5 linked regions of the Cricetulus griseus genome follow. The main gene of each other region encodes a partner of the protein of the gene in region 4 in a complex. Links are inferred from orthologs where the notes say so. Each region holds a gene or a part of one and is shown on either strand. Other genes may lie near its edges.

Region 1 (3,516 bases), about 39 Mb from region 4:
AGAAGAAACAAACAAACCAGCAGGTGCACTTGGCCTGAGGGTACCATTTGGCAACAACCATCCTAGCCCAAACTTTGAATGGGACAAAAAAAGTCAGAGATGGGCAGGAATGGGCTCCACTCACAGTGAGATTAATTCCTGCCTCCTTGCCTTCCACAGCAGAGCACTAAGGGGTGAAGGTCGACCCTGGGAGACTGAGGATGGGCAGGCAATGCCCAGGGGAAGGCCTCACCTTGGGCCTCATCCAGAGCTGCCTGGCTCTCCAACTGGCCAGCCTGTAGTGCACGGCGAATCTGCATGCGGATGATGTCAATCTTGGTCTTGCTATCCTGCAGCATCTGTTGGGCCGTCAACAGCAGCTTCCTGTCCTGGAGCCAGACGTGCAAGGTGACAGGAAAACTGGGAACTCAAGTCTGACCCCCAAACCCTGCTGCTATGCCATGAAGGCCTTGGGTAAGACAGAGCATTGATGTGTGCAAACAAGAACACCTGTGCCCAGTGTTCTAGCACAAGTGCAGTAAGACAAGTCCATAGGCTTCAATTCTAGCTCTGCCACCAACAGCTGAGCTTTGCAATCCCAACCATGTTCTCCCAGTCCTCTGGACCTCACCTCCCCCATCTGCAAAGCCTGGACCTCCACTGGACTGAGGACACCACAGCCCAGTTTGGACCAGCTGGAGCTACATCTTCCTCAGCTCTCAGATCATCTGTGTGCAGGTGTCTGCAGGGCCACAGACAAATGGTGGTATACTGGAGTAATAGAAGTTGCCTAGAGCAGGCCAGTCCAGGGACAGGAAGCAGACTAGTAGCTACTAATTGGGACACAGCCTCCTGTCACAGGGATGGAATGTTTCAGAACACGGTCCCACCTTGGTGCTGCCATTACTGTAGGTCTGGATCATGTTTTCTGCCCCCTGTTTGACCTTCAGCTCAATGGCCAGCTGTTTCTCCAGGCCAGCCACCCGACTCAAGTTGGTGGATGAGCAGACAGTGCTGCCCTCTCCAAGGGATTGGGAAGCATCTGAAGAAACACAGAGTGAAGAAAAGCACACAGTTGTCACTTCAGTATACCCAGGAGACTTTCCCCCAGCTGATAGGAAGCTCTCAGCCCAGCCTTGGTACATCCCAGAAAAGGAGCCTGGGGGTCAGTACACAGGCAGGAAACACATGGCCCTCAAAGCTAGAGTGGGCCCCCAGCTTGAAGGAAGGTGGGTTAGTGACCAGGTATGCAGGTCTTCAGGGCTAGCTGGAATAAATGCCCCCATCTACCTAAGGTGTGTAAGCCCCCTGGGGGTGGCAGGAGTGTAGTGCCCTAGATGTGGATGTAAAAGTAGTTAGGAGGTCTGTGTGAGCTTACAGTCATAGTTATGATCTCTAGAGGCTTCTGGGATTCTGTTTCAAGGCTCAGCTGTTGTCTGCACCTCAAGAGTGATACAGTGGGGTTGGGAGAACTCACTACAGAAGAGGCTTATAAGACTCTTGGCTGAACTCCACCAAGTGTTGATGGGATAGTATTGGACCTCAACAGTGGACACAGCCATATGTAGAGGGGCTGGAGCTGAGCCTGTTGGCTATATGGGAAGTCTGCTGTGGATGGGACAATGGTGGGGCACCTCTGGAGATGGCATGATAACCAGGTGGAAGAGCTCTGGGGTCATTGTGGGTTAGTGTGTCTCTCTAGGTGTAGGTGACAGGTTGCAAACCTTGGATGCTGTCATGACTATGCTACAGACTCTGAAATTAGAGTCATGTTTGCTGTGTTGCCTGGGTGGCATCACTGGCTGTGCACTTCTGAATTCTCTCGGTATCCTCTAGTGTTCCTGTGACCATAAACATCTTGACTACAAGATGAGGGAACTGTGGCCTTGTTTTGTCGCTGCATGAACACACATAACACTACTGAACTCTGGCAATGATAAATTATGATGTGGGTTTCCTTTTGTGTATTTACATATGTAAATACATGGAAGCCAGAGAGACAGCAGGTAAGTTCCTCAATTTTTCTCCACCTTTCTTCCTCCCTCCCTTTTTTGAGATATGGTCCCTCACTGAGCCTGGAGCTCTCTGATTTGACTGGTACGGCTGAGCAGTGCAGCCAGAGATCCTCCCGTCTCTACCTCCCCCAGGTGTGGAATACCACCACACCTGGCTTCTACTCGAGTCCTTGACTTCAAACGCAAGTCTTTATGTTTACACAGTAAATATTTTATTGCCTAAGTCAGCTCCTCAGCATGTAGGACTTTACTTTATCCACAATAAAAAAAAAATTAGTATTTACTATGGTTTTTTCAAGACAGGGTTTCTCTGTATAGCCCTGGCTGTCCTAGAACTCACTCTGTAAGTGAGTTCAAACTCACAGGATCTGCCGGTCTCTGCCTCACAAGCGCTGGAATCAAAAGCATGCATCACTGCTGCCAAGCCAAAAATTAATTTTTTTAAAAAAAATATAAAACTTTTAGCGGGGTGTTGGTGGTACATGCCTTTAATCCCAGCAATCAGGAAGCAGAGGCAGGCGGATCTCTGAGTTTGAGGCCAGCCTGGTCTACAGAGCAAGTTCCAGGACAACCTCCAAAGCAATACAGAGAAACCCTGTCTCGACACACACACACACACACACACACACACACATCGCCTCACAGCTAGGTGATGGCACACACCTTTAATCCCAATACTTGAGAGGCAGAGGCAGGCAGTTCTCTGTGAGCTCAAGGCCAGCCTGGTCTACAGAGCGAGTTCCAGGACAACTAGGGATATACAGAGAAACCCCGTCTTGAGAAAAAAAAAAAAAATCTTTACTGGGTTTAGTGGTACAGGCTATATCAGGTGACTCATAATAACCAATAACCTATAACTCCAGTTTCAGGGGCTCTAGGGCCATCCTCTTCTCAGGCACCTGGCGTGACATACATAAAGACATCCAGGCATACACAATACACATAAATAAACATAAAAATGTTTTGTTTTGATTTTATCTTTTAGAGACACAGTTTCTCTGTGTAGCCCTGGCTGTCTTGGAACTCACTCTGTAGATCAGGCTGGCCTCTAACTCAGAGATCTACCTACCTACCTCTGTCTCCCAAATGCTGGGATTAAATGTGTGCACCACCACTGCCTGGCTATTTTTATTTATTCATATATGAGTATTTTTATCTAGAGTAGTTTCTCTTTTTTCTTTTTCTCACCTGGGTTGTAAGTGCTTTGTTTTTGTTTTTGAGGCAAAGTTTTACTAGGTAGCTCTGACTGGCCTTGACTCACAGAGATCCACCTGCCTCTGTCATATATACATATATTTTTGTATATATACATAAAGCAAAGAACAACTGAAAAATAGTCTATAACTGCTATTGTATTGGTATGATGTGGAGAGCTAAGAGAGTGACAAGTGTGCCATATTGGGCATTGATATGACTATGAGTTTCTGGGTTTTCATGTGACAGCATGTTACCCAGCTATTGTCTAGAAATAACTATAGCTGTGTCCTTAAGTAACTGGTGACAGTGTGTGGGTCTTTAGTGT
Region 2 (3,222 bases), on a different chromosome or scaffold from region 4:
TAAACTCTTTTTTTTTTTTTTTTTTTTTTTTTTTTGAGACAGGTTTCTCTGTGGCTTTGGAGCCTATCCTGGCACTCGCACTGGAGACCAGGCTGGCCTCCAACCCAGAGATCCGCCTGCCTCTGCCTCCCAAGTGCTGGGATTAAAGGCGTGCGCCACCAACACCCAGCAACACTAAACTCTTAACCCACTTTCTGAGTGCTGACCCACAGGTGTGTACACAACACTAGGCTGCCACTGATGAGTCCCTATTTTCCCAAGCCTTTTTTGATAAGTGAGAATCACCCGGAAAAGATTTTTTCTTATTTGTTTTTTGAGACAGGGTTTCTCTGTATAACAGGCCTGGCTCTCCTGGACCTTGCTTTTTAGACCAGGCTGGCCTCAAACTCACTGAGATCCACCTGCCTCTGCCTCCCAAGTGCTAGGATTAAAGGTGTGCCTCACCACTGCTCAGCCCAGAAAATATTTTTAAAAATAAGTTCTTGGGCTGCGCATGTGGCTCAGTGGTAGAACACGAGTGTTGCACGTGTGAGGCCCTCGGTCCAATGAGCTGCGTTGGTGGCACCTACCTTTCAGCACTTGGGAGGCAGAGGCAGGCGGATCTCTGTGAGTTCAAGGCCAGCCTGGTCTACAGAGCTGGTTCCAGGATAGCTAGGACTGTTAACACAGAGAAAAGTCCTGGCTCAAAAAACAAACAAAGCAACCAAACAAGAATAGATTGAAACCAAGCTCCCTTTGAGACCCACCCTAGCCTGCCTTTGAACTTACTTTTCCACTCATCTATAAGGAGGTCCCTGCTTTCAAAGGACTGGTCGTAAGGGTCAGCCACAGGCTCATCATCAGGGTCATGGTACTGAGCAAAGTAGGCATGTGCAAGGGCTTGGGCTGCTGTGATCCTCTTATCTGAGTCCAAAACCAGCATCTTTTCCAGCAGGTCCACAGCTGTCACACAAGAGGAAAAATACAGAGTGAGTTCCTGGACAGCCAGGGCTACATAGTCTCAAAAAACTCAAACGAAACAAAACACTCCAAATGAACAAAAACAAAACAAAATCTACTCCCCCAAACCAGGCTGTGAACAAACTTTTTTTCCAGTGTCAGGGCCACACGGTGACAACTGAATGAACTGTACTGAATGGAGGCCCCCTATGGCCAAAGCCTGGAGGTCGACAGCTAAGACCATCTACAAGGCAGGTAGCTTGATTGTAGTCTATATTAGCATATTAGTATTACATACTAGCATAATATAAATATTCACCCAGAATGTCAAACAATAGCAAATTGAAGGCTTCCCAGAGGGTCGCAGAAGAAAAGGTACTACATAAAGATATCTGATCCTTAAGACTTTCACTGTGAAAATTTGGAATACAGAAGCAGGAGGGGCACCCATGACCCATGCAGGGGCATCAGTCAGTCCACATCTGACATATTTCCCCCATTATTTCTGTGTCGCTCCTGAGTTGTTTTAAGGTTATTGAGATGACACTTTATACCCTAAATATTTCAGCACACAGACATCATCCTGCGTGACCAGAACATTGTCTTTAACCCCAAACCTGTCTGTGGTAAAACATCTCCATCACAGCTGTCTCCTACATTTGTTCAAACTGGGACTTCCTTATGGGGCTCTCTTTTCTCTAGCCTTTCTGAAACCAGCTGACCTCAGCCTTGCTATGTAGCCCAGGATGGTCTTGAACACATCTTCCTCAACACTGGGATACAGACAGGCTGTATCACCAGCCTTGCTTCTTACTGGCTCTCCTCTGACGACAGACACTGCAGATGTGTTGCAGGCGGGCAGCCATCGTCTATCACAGGCTGCCACTGCTTCTCTGTGCTCTGATGGATGGACCCCTCCCCACCCCGCTTCCTATATTCTTTACATTTATCAAAAGCCAGAATTAGACCTAAGTCTTCGGTAGGAACAATGTCAGGCACACTGGTCAAGAACACGTCCCAGGTGATGTTCTGAACTGGTGGGCACAATAGCCAGTGGAGCTAAAGGTGACTGGCATCTTGAGATCTTTCCCCTCTCTCCCCAAGTGAGTAATCTGGGGGAATATTTTGGTTCCTGGTATCAGTTACTTTCAATAATGGTTTCAGCATTACTGATTTTTCCCTCCCCAGAGCGATGACCTCATTAGAGACGGAGGCACAGAGCTGTCTAATTCTGAGGAGGAGGATGTTCTGCTTGGGTAAAGCCATCCTAAGCAGTTATCAACGAGACAGAAAGGCTCTCAGACCCCAGGGTTCTTTCTTTTTAGTTCTATGAGCACAGCAGTGCATGCCTGCTGGCTGAGAAGGCCAGAAAAGGGCACTGGGTCCCCTGGAAGAGTCCTCTCTCCAGCCCCAGATAATTTCTTCACAGTGGAAGGCTGTGGGTGCTAAAGAGGAGAAAAGCTTCCTGAAGAGGTGATGTCCCTCTGCTTATCAGAGTGATCATGCATCTTGCAGCCTGAACTCCACAGTCACCCACAGAAGCACAAGCTTTGAGGGTACAGAGGAAACAGCAAATAAGCATATGTGGGCTCAGATTCATGAGTCACCTCACGCTTTAAAGAGGGGCTGGGATGTAACTTGTAGAGTGCTTGCCAAGTGTGCACAAGGCTTTTGATTCCACACCCAGCAGTGTACACACTGGGCATGGTGGTGCACACCTGTAATCCCAGCATTCTGGGAGGCACTGGCTGAACTGCCTGAATAGACAGATATTCTTTTCATGTTCATCTACAAATCTGTTGATTTCATACTGAACACAAATGGGTGGGTGCCTGCCACCCTACCTTAAAAAGTTACACTATCTTAGGACCAATGCACTTAGATGAGAACAGGTCAGAAGCAAGGAAAAGACATCTCAAGGATCTCCATAGACGCCAACACTAAGATCAAAGGGCGGTGGAGCTCTCAGGTGTTTTGAGAATAGCAGTGATTCGAAGCCAGTGACTGAAAACAGGGCTGTTAATATTTATATCACTGCTGTGTGGTTCAGCTAGCAAGTTGGGGACGACTAGCTATGGGTCACAGCATGTTCCCTCTGCCACCAGCACTTGGCAATGCGCTGCGTGTTTGGATTGAGCAGGCTGTACTGGGCACCAGATTTTACTCCCCAGCAGTCTGGACTGACTCATGGGAGCTGGTTCTCGTCTGTGCTTAAATAGGGACACATATCAGGATGTGTGTGACTTCCATCAAAGGCAGAAGAAATCCTTTTGAGGCAGATAA
Region 3 (4,039 bases), on a different chromosome or scaffold from region 4:
TATTAATCTTCAGTTTCTTCCCCAAAACACAGTATTACAGCATTGCTTTGGAAACCCTTGTACACAAGAAGGAGTGGCTAGGTAAACTCCATCTACTCTCAGCATAGGCATTTAAGTATGACAAGGACAGGGCAAAATACTGTAGGCAAGCCTTGCCTGGGAAAGCTGAGGCAAGCACATGGCTTGAGAAATGTGGGAAAGCCCTCTCTGCACCCAGTCACGGTAGCTGGAGCTTCCGGGACGAGCCCAAGCATTTCCAAATGCTGTCTCATAGACCTCTCCCCAGGATGCAGGTATCTCCATCTCCCAAGGGTGTAAACATTGGCCAAGCCTGATCTACAAATGACACAACTGGGATTCAACTTGGGTCACCTCCTTTTCTTCCACCGTGTGCCCTTTTTCTACTCCATCGTTTACTGCCTCCTAATTTTCCTTTTTCTCTTTAAACAGACCCATTTCTTGTTACTGTAATGACTGGATTGCTTACTATCCTCGTATTTGAGGCTTAAATTTTCTTTTCTTTTCTTTCTTTCTTTTTTTTTTGAGGCTTAAGTTTTCTATTAGCAATGGTGTCAATGGGTTAAGTATTACATGTATGACTCCTGGTTCTCACGGTGTTTTAGTGCATTGGGATTACTTAACTCCTCTTATACTCAATGCTTCAGCTGTCTCTAGGAGGATTGGACACAAAAGTAGATCAATCAAACCATCAGGCTCTGGCTCGGATGGCTCTCTTTGGATACAGCTGGAACTATGCTTATTTATGTGTAGTGGGCCAAAGTTAATAGCCACAAAGGAAGTAGCCTAAATCTTCCCCACAGTAAGTGTCTCAGCTGCTGCTATTATATTTAGATAGACCGGTCCCCGCCCCTTGTCAGTCTGTCCCGTGCATAATAACATGGAAAACAAATGATCCCAACTTTTATTTCCAACATCTGAGGGCACAGAGGCTATCTTATTCCAACAAAGTACATCACCACAAACACCTTTCCCAGCTCAGCAGAAGAGCTCACTGACTTTTCTCTGATTGTGTCAAGTTCTAAACTCCACTGTCCATTTTGCTGGGCACTCTGGGAGCTTCATCTGACCTCTTTCACAAAACGTCCCTGTAATTTCTCCAGTGTCTCCCCTGATGATTCACTTCCTCACTCAACACCCTTTGTAAGTCCTGTTTGTAATTCTTCGGTCCTATCAGACTCAGTTTCACCGCTTAGCCCAGATAGGCACCAAGCCAATGTATTGCCAATAGCACTCACTCTGCACTAACTTAAAATACACAGTGCAGCTTGCCAAGTTTCCTTATTTGGCAAGAAGGTCCCTCAGTTCCCAAGATCTTTGACCATCCATTTTTAGATCTCAATCTGTGTGCTTAATATTTGGTTATTACTTCCCTTAATGTGTTCTTATGTACCCCCCTCAACCAAAAATAAAAAAAATCCTTCTAAAGGATCAATCATCTACTTGCTTTCCTAGACAACAAAATGTTTCCCACTTAAACTTTGACTTGCACATTCTTCAGTTAAAAAAAAAAACCTCCAAAATAATCCCCAAAAGTACTTGTAGAAATTACATTGTAAAAGATTAAAATAAACAGTACATAGTACTCCAAAGGGCTATTTTTCCTCTATCTAATTCTCTTTCCAAACAAGCTAAATTCATGTTCATTTACAGTCTCCCAAATCTCTCACAATTGTAACAGGAATCTAAAACAAAGACTCTACAAACGACCAAAACCATAATTAAAATGCAGCAGTCACTTTTTTTTTTTTTAAATCAAGAAAGGAATGAAATTTTACTGTAGAGACAGGCCTACAACAAAGAAGTCTGCTCTTGAATCATTTGTTTATTTTTATCGTTAAACATTTTGGTAGGTTTGGATCCACTAAATCCTGGCAGTTGGTTTCATCTACCGTCAAGAAAGCCAGAAGATTTGCTACAAGCACTTCAGGGGTAAAACAGGAAGACACTTTCAACAACAGTGTGAACTCAGATAGCCTCAATCCATTCTGGAAGACGGTTCTCATACGCATTATTAATGAAGGCTGCTTATTGTGAAATCGCTGGAACGGGCCACCAAATGGTGTGCTTTCATTATTAACGAAACTAACAAAAATAGTAATTATACTCTCCATAAACAGTGCTTATGCAGGATCTCCAGGCGCATGAGAAACATACATTTTGAGCAACCCAACAATGACGTGCCATTGTTTTTCAGACAGTTCCATGTCATCTGGGCAGTTCAGAATCAAAGTTTTTCTGAAAGCTGTCACGCACGGGGCGAGGCGTGCCTGAGGCCGGGGGCGAACTCACCGCGGAGCCGGGTGAGGGTCCCCGCGCCCACGACACCCGCGTGTGCTCCCACCGAAGGCAAAGGTGCTCGGGAAGGGCAGCCGCCGCGGGCTCCCCGAGATCGCCGCGGGCTGTGCCAGGCCGGGCTCTTCCGGGCACTGAATGTCCCACGGGACTGTCCCGGACTTGCCCCAAGCCGTACTCGGCCCAGCGGCAGAGGACCGCGGGGCTCCAGGGCACCGGGCGCGGGCCGAGGACAGCCGCCCGCCGAGCCCCGGCCTCCCGCACCCGCGCTGCCCCGATCCCCGCAGGCCCGGGCCCCGCCGATCCTCCAGGATGGTGCTCCCTCCCTCCTTCCAGTCCCCCGCAGCCCCCTACCTGGCTCCCGGGCCGGGTGCGAGCGGCGGCGGGGGTCGGGGACGGCGGCCCGCGCTGCTCCCACGCTTCCGCCGGAGTCAGGAGTTGAACATTCCGCCTCTCCGCGCGGCGCCAATGAGGAAGACGTCGCGGCAACAGCACCACCTACCTCCGGGCGCGGAACCGCCGGCCGCCCTGCCTCCCGGCACGCCCGGCCAGACACCCAGCGGGAAGGCCCGGGCTCGGGGTCACACAGACCCCAGGCGCTGCATGATGCTCTGGCTGGGAAGGGGACGGAAGGGAAGTCGATTTCTATGGAGTCAGGGTTGCGGGTGCCTCAGTTGGGACCATCTGTTGAAACAGGTACTTTGGAAATTTTGAGGAGGAGTCACGACCTGCTGCTCTGGTTGGTGACTTTAAGATAAAGTGCCTGCGATTTCACATTGAGGTGACAGAGTCCATTGAAAGTGTGGAAAAAAAAAATAAAAAGTGGCACCGGGCTTTAGGAATATATATATATATATATATATATATATATATATATATATATATATATATGGACTGGGGAAGATGGAACTGGGTCGGGGATGGGGGGAGGAGAGAAGAGGTAGGGGAGACATTTTCTGAATTAGAATCTAGTCACTCACACACCTGGAGAATTGTGGAAAGTTGAAATGGAGTAAAATGGGTGTTTGTGTTTTAGTGCATTGCTTTCTATTGGAGCACGTGGCATAGAAGCCTTAAGATTTTAAGCCACGTTCTTTCCTCTCCATTCATCTTAGAGGTGATTTGGAGAATTGCCTAGGGATGGAAACAGGATAAATGGTAGATACTGTCACTTCCTGCTTACAGATGGGACCCCGAGGACCTGAGTGAGAGGGTACAACATGGAATCTTTTTTTTTTTAAAAAAAAAAAAAGAAATTGGAATTGAGAAACATGTTTCAGAAAGAGGCCACAGAAATTGGTGACCCATTCGATTGGGAAAGAAGAAAGAGATGATGCCAGGATTTGAGACCTGGGTGACTGGAAGAATGGTGTGTCATTGACAGAAATAGCAATCTGGGGAGAGGAAACTGGCTTCCTGCTGAGTTTTGAAGTCATGAGAGGAAAAACAGGTAGAGATGAAACAAGAAACGGAAATGAGAAGAGAGGCCAAAGGAGAAATAGAAATTTTGAAAACTGTTCATATATGTTTAGCACATGAATGTGGAAGGGTGGATAGATATAAACTAATAATTTTTAAAAGCCCTCTTGGTCTGTTATTACAAAGGCTGAGGGTTTTAGATTAATAAATTACATCTTGGTAACCGAGAAGACTGAAGAAAACTGTCACACTAAAAAAAAAAAAAAATTCTGTTGTAGGTGATCAAACAATTTTAGAAGCTGCCTGT
Region 4 (4,217 bases):
CATTGATGATATAGCAACTCATCAAAGAGAAACAGGAAATTGTCATGTAGGTTGCTATTTCAAAAGGACAAGTACTTAGCTTCTCTGTAAGCCCAGCTTTCTGGGTACATTGTTAATAAATTTTGAAGCCCCTGTTAAGATTTGTATTATTGAATGTAGCAGCAGTTATGTTACCAGTAAATGGTGATTTTCAGAGGATCACTCTGTTACTAGAGCTAGTAATACTTCATACTATGTTTCACAGTACTTTCTATGTCATTTTGAATTTTCACAGGTTCTTTGTGTGGACATGGATAATTAAGGCCACATCTGCTTTGTAGTGGAAGCAGTATAGGTCATGATGCAAATAGAACTGATAAGATCCCACAGGTTTTTTGAATTTGCCCGAGGACTGCCTATCGAAACTACAGCAGTCTTTTGACTTCAACAATTGGCAGTTTAAAGATCCCTAGCTATGGGTGGTGCTATGCTGGGTTGGTGGAATGCTCCGTAATAAATGAGTTCCAAATATATTGTTACTTGCTTTGAAATACCACCCCCCCCCCCACAACACACAACCACCACCACTGAACCGTTTAGCTTTCAGGATTTGTTTCTGGCATTTGTTTGTATGGTACCCTGCCTTACCCTTTGCCCTGCTGTGGAACCCATCATGCCTCTCTTGTGTCTCCACTGTGCTTCACAGACCACTTAACACTTCTAACACTTTAGATGCATTTTTGTGGATGTGTTTTCCCCATTTACTCGGTTGCACATTCCTTAAGAGTTGAGGGCAGCACTTGAAATTTGTTTCTATTGCCTTCTTCAGTTTTACTTGTGCTTCTATATCTCAGTGCCTTTCGAATAGGCATGGTAGTTTTGGTTAAATGTTCTCAAGTAGAATTCCAAGTCATCCTCAGGAAAGAGCTTTGCCCCATGTGTGAATAAATAATTGATCATCTGAAGAAAAGGTTAGGATTTATGTCCTCAAAAGGAAGATCAGTTAAGATATGAAACTGCACAGGAGAACTTTGTGATCTGGAGCAAGTGACAGAGTGTTATTTTGTTTTGATCTCTTTGGTGGGGTCCTTAGTGAGAACTCGGGACTGACAGTGCTTAACTGGCGCTTTAGCTAAACTTCTGTCCTGTATCTCTGTTATTTACTTGGAACTTTCTGTGTGTGCTTTCTTAGTAATCTTGTTCTACTTCTCTGACAAAGCAATGAATTAGGAGTTTTCTTATTTTATGGAAGGAGAAATTGGGCTAAGATTTATATTTTAAAGTTACCAGTCTTTGATTGAAGATTCAAGTTTTTCATTGCTTCTTTGAGACTTGCTTTGTCACTTGAGATGAGACTATTAATATTCTGTTTTTTAATTAAAGTTTTTATCAATGTGTTTGTTTGACTATATGTCAATTGAATACAGGTATCTGAAAAAGCCAGAAGAGGGCATCAGCTTCCTTAGACCTTGAGTTACAGGCAGATGTGAGCCACCCAAGTGTCCAGCATGGATGCTAGGAGCTACACTCAAGTCCTCTGTAAGAACAGTGAGTGGTCTTAACCTCTGTTAAGCCAGCTCTTTAGTTTCCTTGTCCTTGCTCTTAAAAATTATTTATTTATGTATTCATTCATTCATTCATTCATTCATCTGTTTAATTTGTGTATATAGGGACGTAAGTGCCACAGCATGTCCATGGAGGTCAGAGGCAACTTGTAGGGTCAGTTCTCTCCCTTAATATGTGGGCTGGTGGGATCCAGCTCAGGTCTGCAGGCTTGGGAGAAAACACCCTTACTTGCTGACCCATCTCCCTGGCTCTGTTTCTCCTTTTTAAACCAAGAAAAAGCTGTTGGCTCTTGTATATCCTTGGAGCCCTCCACAAAACTCTGTTTGGATTAACTGCTGACCCCATGTGATATACAGAGCATCTGGCAGCTGGGGTGGAATTCTCAGCTGTCTCTTTTTGTTTTGTCCACAGAAGGAAATGTGAGTTTTATCTTACGGTACATTCCTTTTTTGGTTCATGGGATCCTCCAATCTGGTTGTGGGCTCATTTCCTACCTTTGTTTTGTTGTTATCTTGCATTTGTTTGGAGATCAGGAATGAACTTAACCTACTCTTAATGAAGGTAGAATTATGAGGTACCTCTGGCATTCCAAAATTCTACTTTGAGGTTTTGCTGACATTGTCTAGTTCATTCTTGTTGTATGAAGTGAATCCAGGCAGCAGATCCTAAGACGTTAGCTCTGCAGTTACTTATCTTTTCTGCATGAAGCCTGCTTTCCAGTTCTCAGTGACATTTATTATTCTTCCCACATGTAAGGGTATGATTTATACATTGTCTGCATATTACTCAGAATTAAAAATGTTTTTACTTCTTGGTTAGAAGAGAAAGGATGTTTGAAGACATGATACACTGAGGCTCCACCATAGTTTTTCTGCTTAGTATAGAGTTGGGAATGCTGATTTTTTTTTTCCAGTTGTAATGTATTTGTGTATTTGCATGTGAGCATGCAGGAGGGAGTGGCCGAGAAGAATATTGTATTGCAGTAGTAATCATATGCACCTCTGATTATTTAGCATCTGCAAGTACTTACATGGTGTGCTGTGCTTCTTTATTTTTTTGTGTAATCCTAATAACTTCATGAGATGACTGCTCTCCTTAAAGAAGAGACAGTGTCAGAACACCTGTGTCACTTGGTGGACCGTGAAGCTAGCAAGGAGTAGAGTTAGAACTCAAATCTGGTCTCCCATCACCCCCAGGAAGTTAGCAATTCATTGCTGTTCTTACATTGTTAACCACCTGACCAGATTTTTGGAAACTTCTGTGCTTTCTAGTGTGTGGGAGGGGGTAGCTTAGAAGCTTGCTGAACTAGCTTCATTGATGACTTTGGAGGTGAAGCAAGACAATCAAAGACAATAAATAACCTAGGATGCTATTAGGTAGCTGAGAGCTGGGTGAGTACAGCAGCCAAGCCAGTCAACTCTTTTCAGTCAGCGTCAGAGTGAGTGACAAGAGTGCTTAAGTATCCTGGTCCCAGGGCGGGGAAGACAGAGAGGGGTCAAGAGTTAAGAAAGGCTGGTAGCTTTCAGCTCTTTCCTTGAAATTCCAAATGAAAATAATTTAAAAAACAAACAACCCAATGATGTTTCCTGCATTTTAAGCAAATATCTGATCCTGTTTCAGAAGGAAGAATGTCTGAATGTTGACTTAATTATTTGAGCAGTTCCATATGGTTATGAAAAAGTCCTGAGAGATGGAGAAGTTGCTTAAAAAAAAAAAAAAAAAAAAAAAAAAAAAGCCCACCAGAAAATCTGAGTCCAGCACCCTCCAAATAGTTTAGCAGTACTCATTTAACAGCAACAGACCGAGAAGTGAGCCGCATACAGCAACAGAAAGAACTTGGAAGAACTTTAAGAATTCCATTCTCTTAAGAGACACCTCTTACTATATGACTTACATACATTAAATGTTTTCCAAGCATTTGTATTTTGTTTCCATTTCATCTTAAATCTCAAAATTCTTATGTTTGGGGGAAGAAATAGCTCTTTCACAGAGAAAGAAACAGATTTATTGGGCGCCATCTGCTGGTTTTGTCTCAGTAGAACAAAGATGTGAAGCCTACAAATCTATGCATTTGCTTCTGTCTTGGAAGACAGTAGTATTGTTTAAACTGACTTCTGTTAACATTGAAGAGTGGGATACCTTTAACTGAAATATTCATGAACATGTTAAAAGAAGATTGATGAGTGGATTTAATTGGGCATTGTCATTATCTGTCAAAAGAGATACGTCAAAGAAAATTGTATGATTTTCTACCAGTGAAATCAACCCTAGTTGGTATGAAAATCAGCAAATTCCTCCGTTGATTCCTGTTTATGTTGTTAAGGAAAGTTAAGGGCTTTGCTTGCTTTTGGACTATGTCTGAGTATTTTTCTTTTAATAGAGTGGGTACTATAGATGAGTGATCCTGTTGTAGTTTCTTATCAGGGGTGTTTTTGAGCCTTGCTTCTTTTTAACTGTCATTTTATGGACTTGAGCTGAAGTCTTTCATTCTCAGAGCATTACATTTTAGATCTTTTGATTTCTCATACAGTTATCTCACATAAGATGCACTGTGGAGGAAGATTGTTTGCAGAATGGAGTTAAGAATTCATTTATCCAGCATACATTATTGAGCACTTACAACAACTCAACACACTTATAGGCACAGATACAGCATTGAATAAAACAAGTAT
Region 5 (3,516 bases), on a different chromosome or scaffold from region 4:
AGAAACCCTGTCTCAAAAACAAACAAACAACAACAACAAAAATGTCCTACCTGAAAGTCCTGCAATCAACCATGGGAAGAGTCTCAAAACAACTAGACATGCGGTAACCAAGAAAATGGGCAGCATGTTTTGGTAACTGACCCCTGGTGGTCAGAATGTCTCTTTTTGTTAAAGGTCATTGCAACTAAAGATACATTGTTCTTGCTATATCAAGAATTAAGGTACCAGGGCACTTTCATACACAGGTGCAGTAGAAAAGTGCCCATCTTCAAAGAATTCAACTTCATTGTAACATTGTGCTGGCTAGTTTTATGTCAACTCCACACAAGCTAGAATCATTTGGGAAGAGGGAACCTCAATTAAGAAAAGCCTGTAAGCAAGCTTGAGCATTTTCTTGATTGATGATTGATATGGGAGGCCCCAGCTCACTGCAGGTATTCAGCTCAGCCTCTGGGCTGGTGGTCCTAGGTGATGTAACAAAACAGAGCCAGCAAGCCAGGAGTAGCAAGCCGATAAGCATCCTCCATGGCTTCTACTGTGCTATGCTCCTGACTTCCCTCAGTGAAGGGGTGTGATCTGAGAGGGGTAAGTCAAAATAAACCCTTTCCTCCCCAGGGTGCTTTTGGTTATTGTGTTTTATCACATCAATAGGTGAATTAAAACTTTCTGTGAGGCAGTTCAAGAAGGCAGAGGTCCGTCCCTACACCCTGGACTTAGATTTATCTGTACAACTCAATCCTCATAGCCTGGCCCCTGGCCCTCCCTCCAAGCCAAGGATCCTTTCAGCCTTCACAGGGCCAGGATCCAGAGCCTCACCCTACAGAGCCTAAGCATAGACAAATACAACAGGAGCCTACAGCAACAGGTTCCTGGTGTGGAAGAAAAAAAAAAAAAAACCCTCAATCTTTTTTTTTTTTTTTTTTTTTTGAGTGTTGGGAAGGGTATTGAGACAGTGTCCCTCAAATTCACTATGAAGTTGAGGATAACCTTGAACTCCCTGATCCTTTTGCCTCTGCCTTCCAAAGTATCACATTACAAAAGGGTGCTACCATAGCACAGGAGGGTGCCATTGTGCCCAGCTAACAGTTTAACTTCTTGATTTGGAAATCACTTGCATGGCAAGAACTATACTTAGCATCAGCTGGGATTTCTTGCTCTACACCAATGGCTATAGGGGAAAGGCTGACATCACAGAATACAGAGAACATTCATGATGGTTAAATGGAACCATCAGGAAAGAGGTCTTGTAACTCCCAAATGTCCTCTCACCCAAAAAGGAATGTTTGACGATGCTTTTTTTTTTTTTTTTCTTGAACACTGAAACCAACTCTTTTTCTTGGATTTAAACTACTTGGCGCCCATAGACCCCAACACAGACACACTCCACCCCACTGGACCAGCAAGTGCTGCACTTCCAACCCAGACAGTACCATGGTGATGCCGAGGCTCCAGACGTCAGACTTGACATTGTAGCCCTTCTGATTCAGCTCAGGGTTGATCCTCTCAGGCTGCAAGAGAGACTAGAGGGCTTGAAGACCCAACCAGCCAAGGCTCCTTCCATTAGACCTTTTCTTGTCTATTCCAAAACGGAGTGCCATTAGGTTCCCCTGCCTGTAAGCTATAAGCCAACAAGAGCCAGAGCCAATCCCTGCCTTCCCACCAGGCCCCCCAGTCCTAAGGAAAACAGGGTTCACAGGTTCTACAGACTACAAGTTCATCCAAACAGGTATCATGGAGTGCAGGTAAATGGTGGCAAGGTCCCTATGGAGGAGGGTACAACTGAAGAAAAAAAAAACACAGCCCACTACATAGATTCAGAATCTTGTCTTGTCCTCCACCTAGCCAGGATGCCCCCACTTACAGCCATGTAAGGCTTGCAACCAGCATCCATTGTCTTTGCCACAGAGTCCACCAGGTAGCCACTGATGCCAAAGTCGCACATCTTCACATGCCCCTCCTTGTTGATGAGGACATTGGACGGCTTCACATCTACAAGTAGAGCATACCCTTCTCAGCCTATACCAAGTGAGATGCTGCCCCTCCAGTGGCCTGTGGTCCAGCAGCAGGCTACCCAATGCCCCAAGGATAGGGCAAGGAAGCAGAGGCAATGAGATGTGCAGTACCAGGCCCCATCACATAGCCAGACAATGAGTCAGAATGCACCTCAGCTTATCCCTACCAAAGAGAAACATCAGAGCCCTGTAGACACTACCTAGAGACTATTCATGCATACTACCTGCTACAGACACAAAGCTGGCAAGCAGAAGGTAGTGAGTGGGTGAACAACAGTGCAGGTGAAGGTGTGAGGATGGGTCTGTGTGTGCAAATAAGGAGCCCCATCCCCTGCCTCACAGGACACAGGAAGCTCCAAGCAAAGATCCACGTGGATGTGTAAAGACAAAGGTGTACAGAAAAGGACAGGAAGGTTCCGTGCCAAAGGGCCAACAATGATGACTTGAGGACAGAACTGGGACGAGTAGTGACACTAAGTGCAGTGCAACCAAGTCAGTGGGAGGCTCATTTTTTTGTTTGTTTGGTTGGTTGGTTTTGGTTTTTGAGACAGGAGTTCTTTGTGGAACAGCCTTGGCTTTCCTGGAACTAGCTCTGTAGACCATGCTGGCCTCGAACTCACAGAGATCTGCCTGCCTCTGTCTCCCAAATGCTGGGAATAAAGGCTATGCCACCACTACCCGACAGGAGTCTGATTCTTAATAACTATAAACCTGGAGGGGAAAAATCAGACTAGTGGCCACAAGGGCAAAAGGAGGCCAGAAAAGCTCAGGATGGTTGCGTGGCGGGTAAGAGGGAGCTTGGATCAGATCCCCGGAGTGACATGCCACAACCTAGATATTTTACAGCACATGGACTGCACATAAGAATGAGAAAGTAGGCAGTGGAGCCCAGGAAAAGTGGGAATCCAGTTAATTCCTCCTGTTCTGAGCACTGCAGAGCCAAATGCAGAAAAAGTGAGTCAAGCCCCACAAGGTGTCCCATAGGCTGTCCCCCGCCCACCAGGCCTCAGGGGCTGGTGAAGGACACTGACCTCTATGGATCACAGACAGCTTGCTGTGCAGATGCTCCAGGGCCCGCACGATCTGAATGGGGTGGGAGAGGCAGAACTGCTGTTATTCCAGGTAACACCACTGAGAATAAGGTAGCAAACCCCATCTCCTCTAAACACGTCCCAGCCAGTCACCCAGCTCCTGCCCACACCCCAGATGTGCCCATTTGACTGTCCTAGGACAGACTTGATGGCTTCCTGCCCTTCTTCTCACTCCATAAATCCCAAACAGTGCTGCTGCCCAAGGGCCATCGCCAAGATCTACCTGGCCCCCAGGTTTCTCTCACTCCCTTAGTGGAGCTACCTCTGGGGACTAGGAACGAGAGGAGCTGGAGGCATGGGATGGTTTAAGCGCTTCCAGGTGCAAACAGGATTAAAGGGCATCCTTGATTCTACTGCCCCCACCCCTCCCCGCTGGAGCAACATTCAAATCAGAGTTGCTGCACTCCTCTAGA

What was found.
Region 1: Akap13 (region 4) and Pkn1 share a complex: the UniProt entries of both Homo sapiens proteins name them as parts of the signaling complex. The link is inferred for Cricetulus griseus from reciprocal best matches to the Homo sapiens genes AKAP13 and PKN1.
Region 2: Akap13 (region 4) and Mapk14 share a complex: the UniProt entries of both Homo sapiens proteins name them as parts of the signaling complex. The link is inferred for Cricetulus griseus from reciprocal best matches to the Homo sapiens genes AKAP13 and MAPK14.
Region 3: Akap13 (region 4) and Map3k20 share a complex: the UniProt entries of both Homo sapiens proteins name them as parts of the signaling complex. The link is inferred for Cricetulus griseus from reciprocal best matches to the Homo sapiens genes AKAP13 and MAP3K20.
Region 5: Akap13 (region 4) and Map2k3 share a complex: the UniProt entries of both Homo sapiens proteins name them as parts of the signaling complex. The link is inferred for Cricetulus griseus from reciprocal best matches to the Homo sapiens genes AKAP13 and MAP2K3.

Annotation. Positions count from the first base shown.
Region 1 is NC_048596.1:160,724,489-160,728,004, reverse strand, and holds part of Pkn1 (serine/threonine-protein kinase N1), read right to left. Parts: intron 1,022-3,516; coding exon 870-1,021; intron 369-869; coding exon 233-368; intron 1-232. UniProt on the Homo sapiens protein: PKC-related serine/threonine-protein kinase involved in various processes such as regulation of the intermediate filaments of the actin cytoskeleton, cell migration, tumor cell invasion and transcription regulation.
Region 2 is NW_023276806.1:233,854,968-233,858,189, reverse strand, and holds part of Mapk14 (mitogen-activated protein kinase 14), read right to left. Parts: intron 943-3,222; coding exon 769-942; intron 1-768. UniProt on the Homo sapiens protein: Serine/threonine kinase which acts as an essential component of the MAP kinase signal transduction pathway.
Region 3 is NC_048599.1:102,878,388-102,882,426, forward strand, and holds the start of Map3k20 (mitogen-activated protein kinase kinase kinase 20), read right to left. Parts: upstream 2,814-4,039; 5' UTR 2,668-2,813; intron 1-2,667. UniProt on the Homo sapiens protein: Stress-activated component of a protein kinase signal transduction cascade that promotes programmed cell death in response to various stress, such as ribosomal stress, osmotic shock and ionizing radiation.
Region 4 is NC_048596.1:121,808,154-121,812,370, reverse strand, and holds the start of Akap13 (A-kinase anchor protein 13), read left to right. Parts: upstream 1-1,406; 5' UTR 1,407-1,491; coding exon 1,492-1,527; intron 1,528-4,217. UniProt on the Homo sapiens protein: Scaffold protein that plays an important role in assembling signaling complexes downstream of several types of G protein-coupled receptors.
Region 5 is NC_048600.1:74,934,553-74,938,068, reverse strand, and holds part of Map2k3 (dual specificity mitogen-activated protein kinase kinase 3), read right to left. Parts: intron 3,096-3,516; coding exon 3,044-3,095; intron 1,990-3,043; coding exon 1,862-1,989; intron 1,509-1,861; coding exon 1,431-1,508; intron 1-1,430. UniProt on the Homo sapiens protein: Dual specificity kinase. Is activated by cytokines and environmental stress in vivo. Catalyzes the concomitant phosphorylation of a threonine and a tyrosine residue in the MAP kinase p38.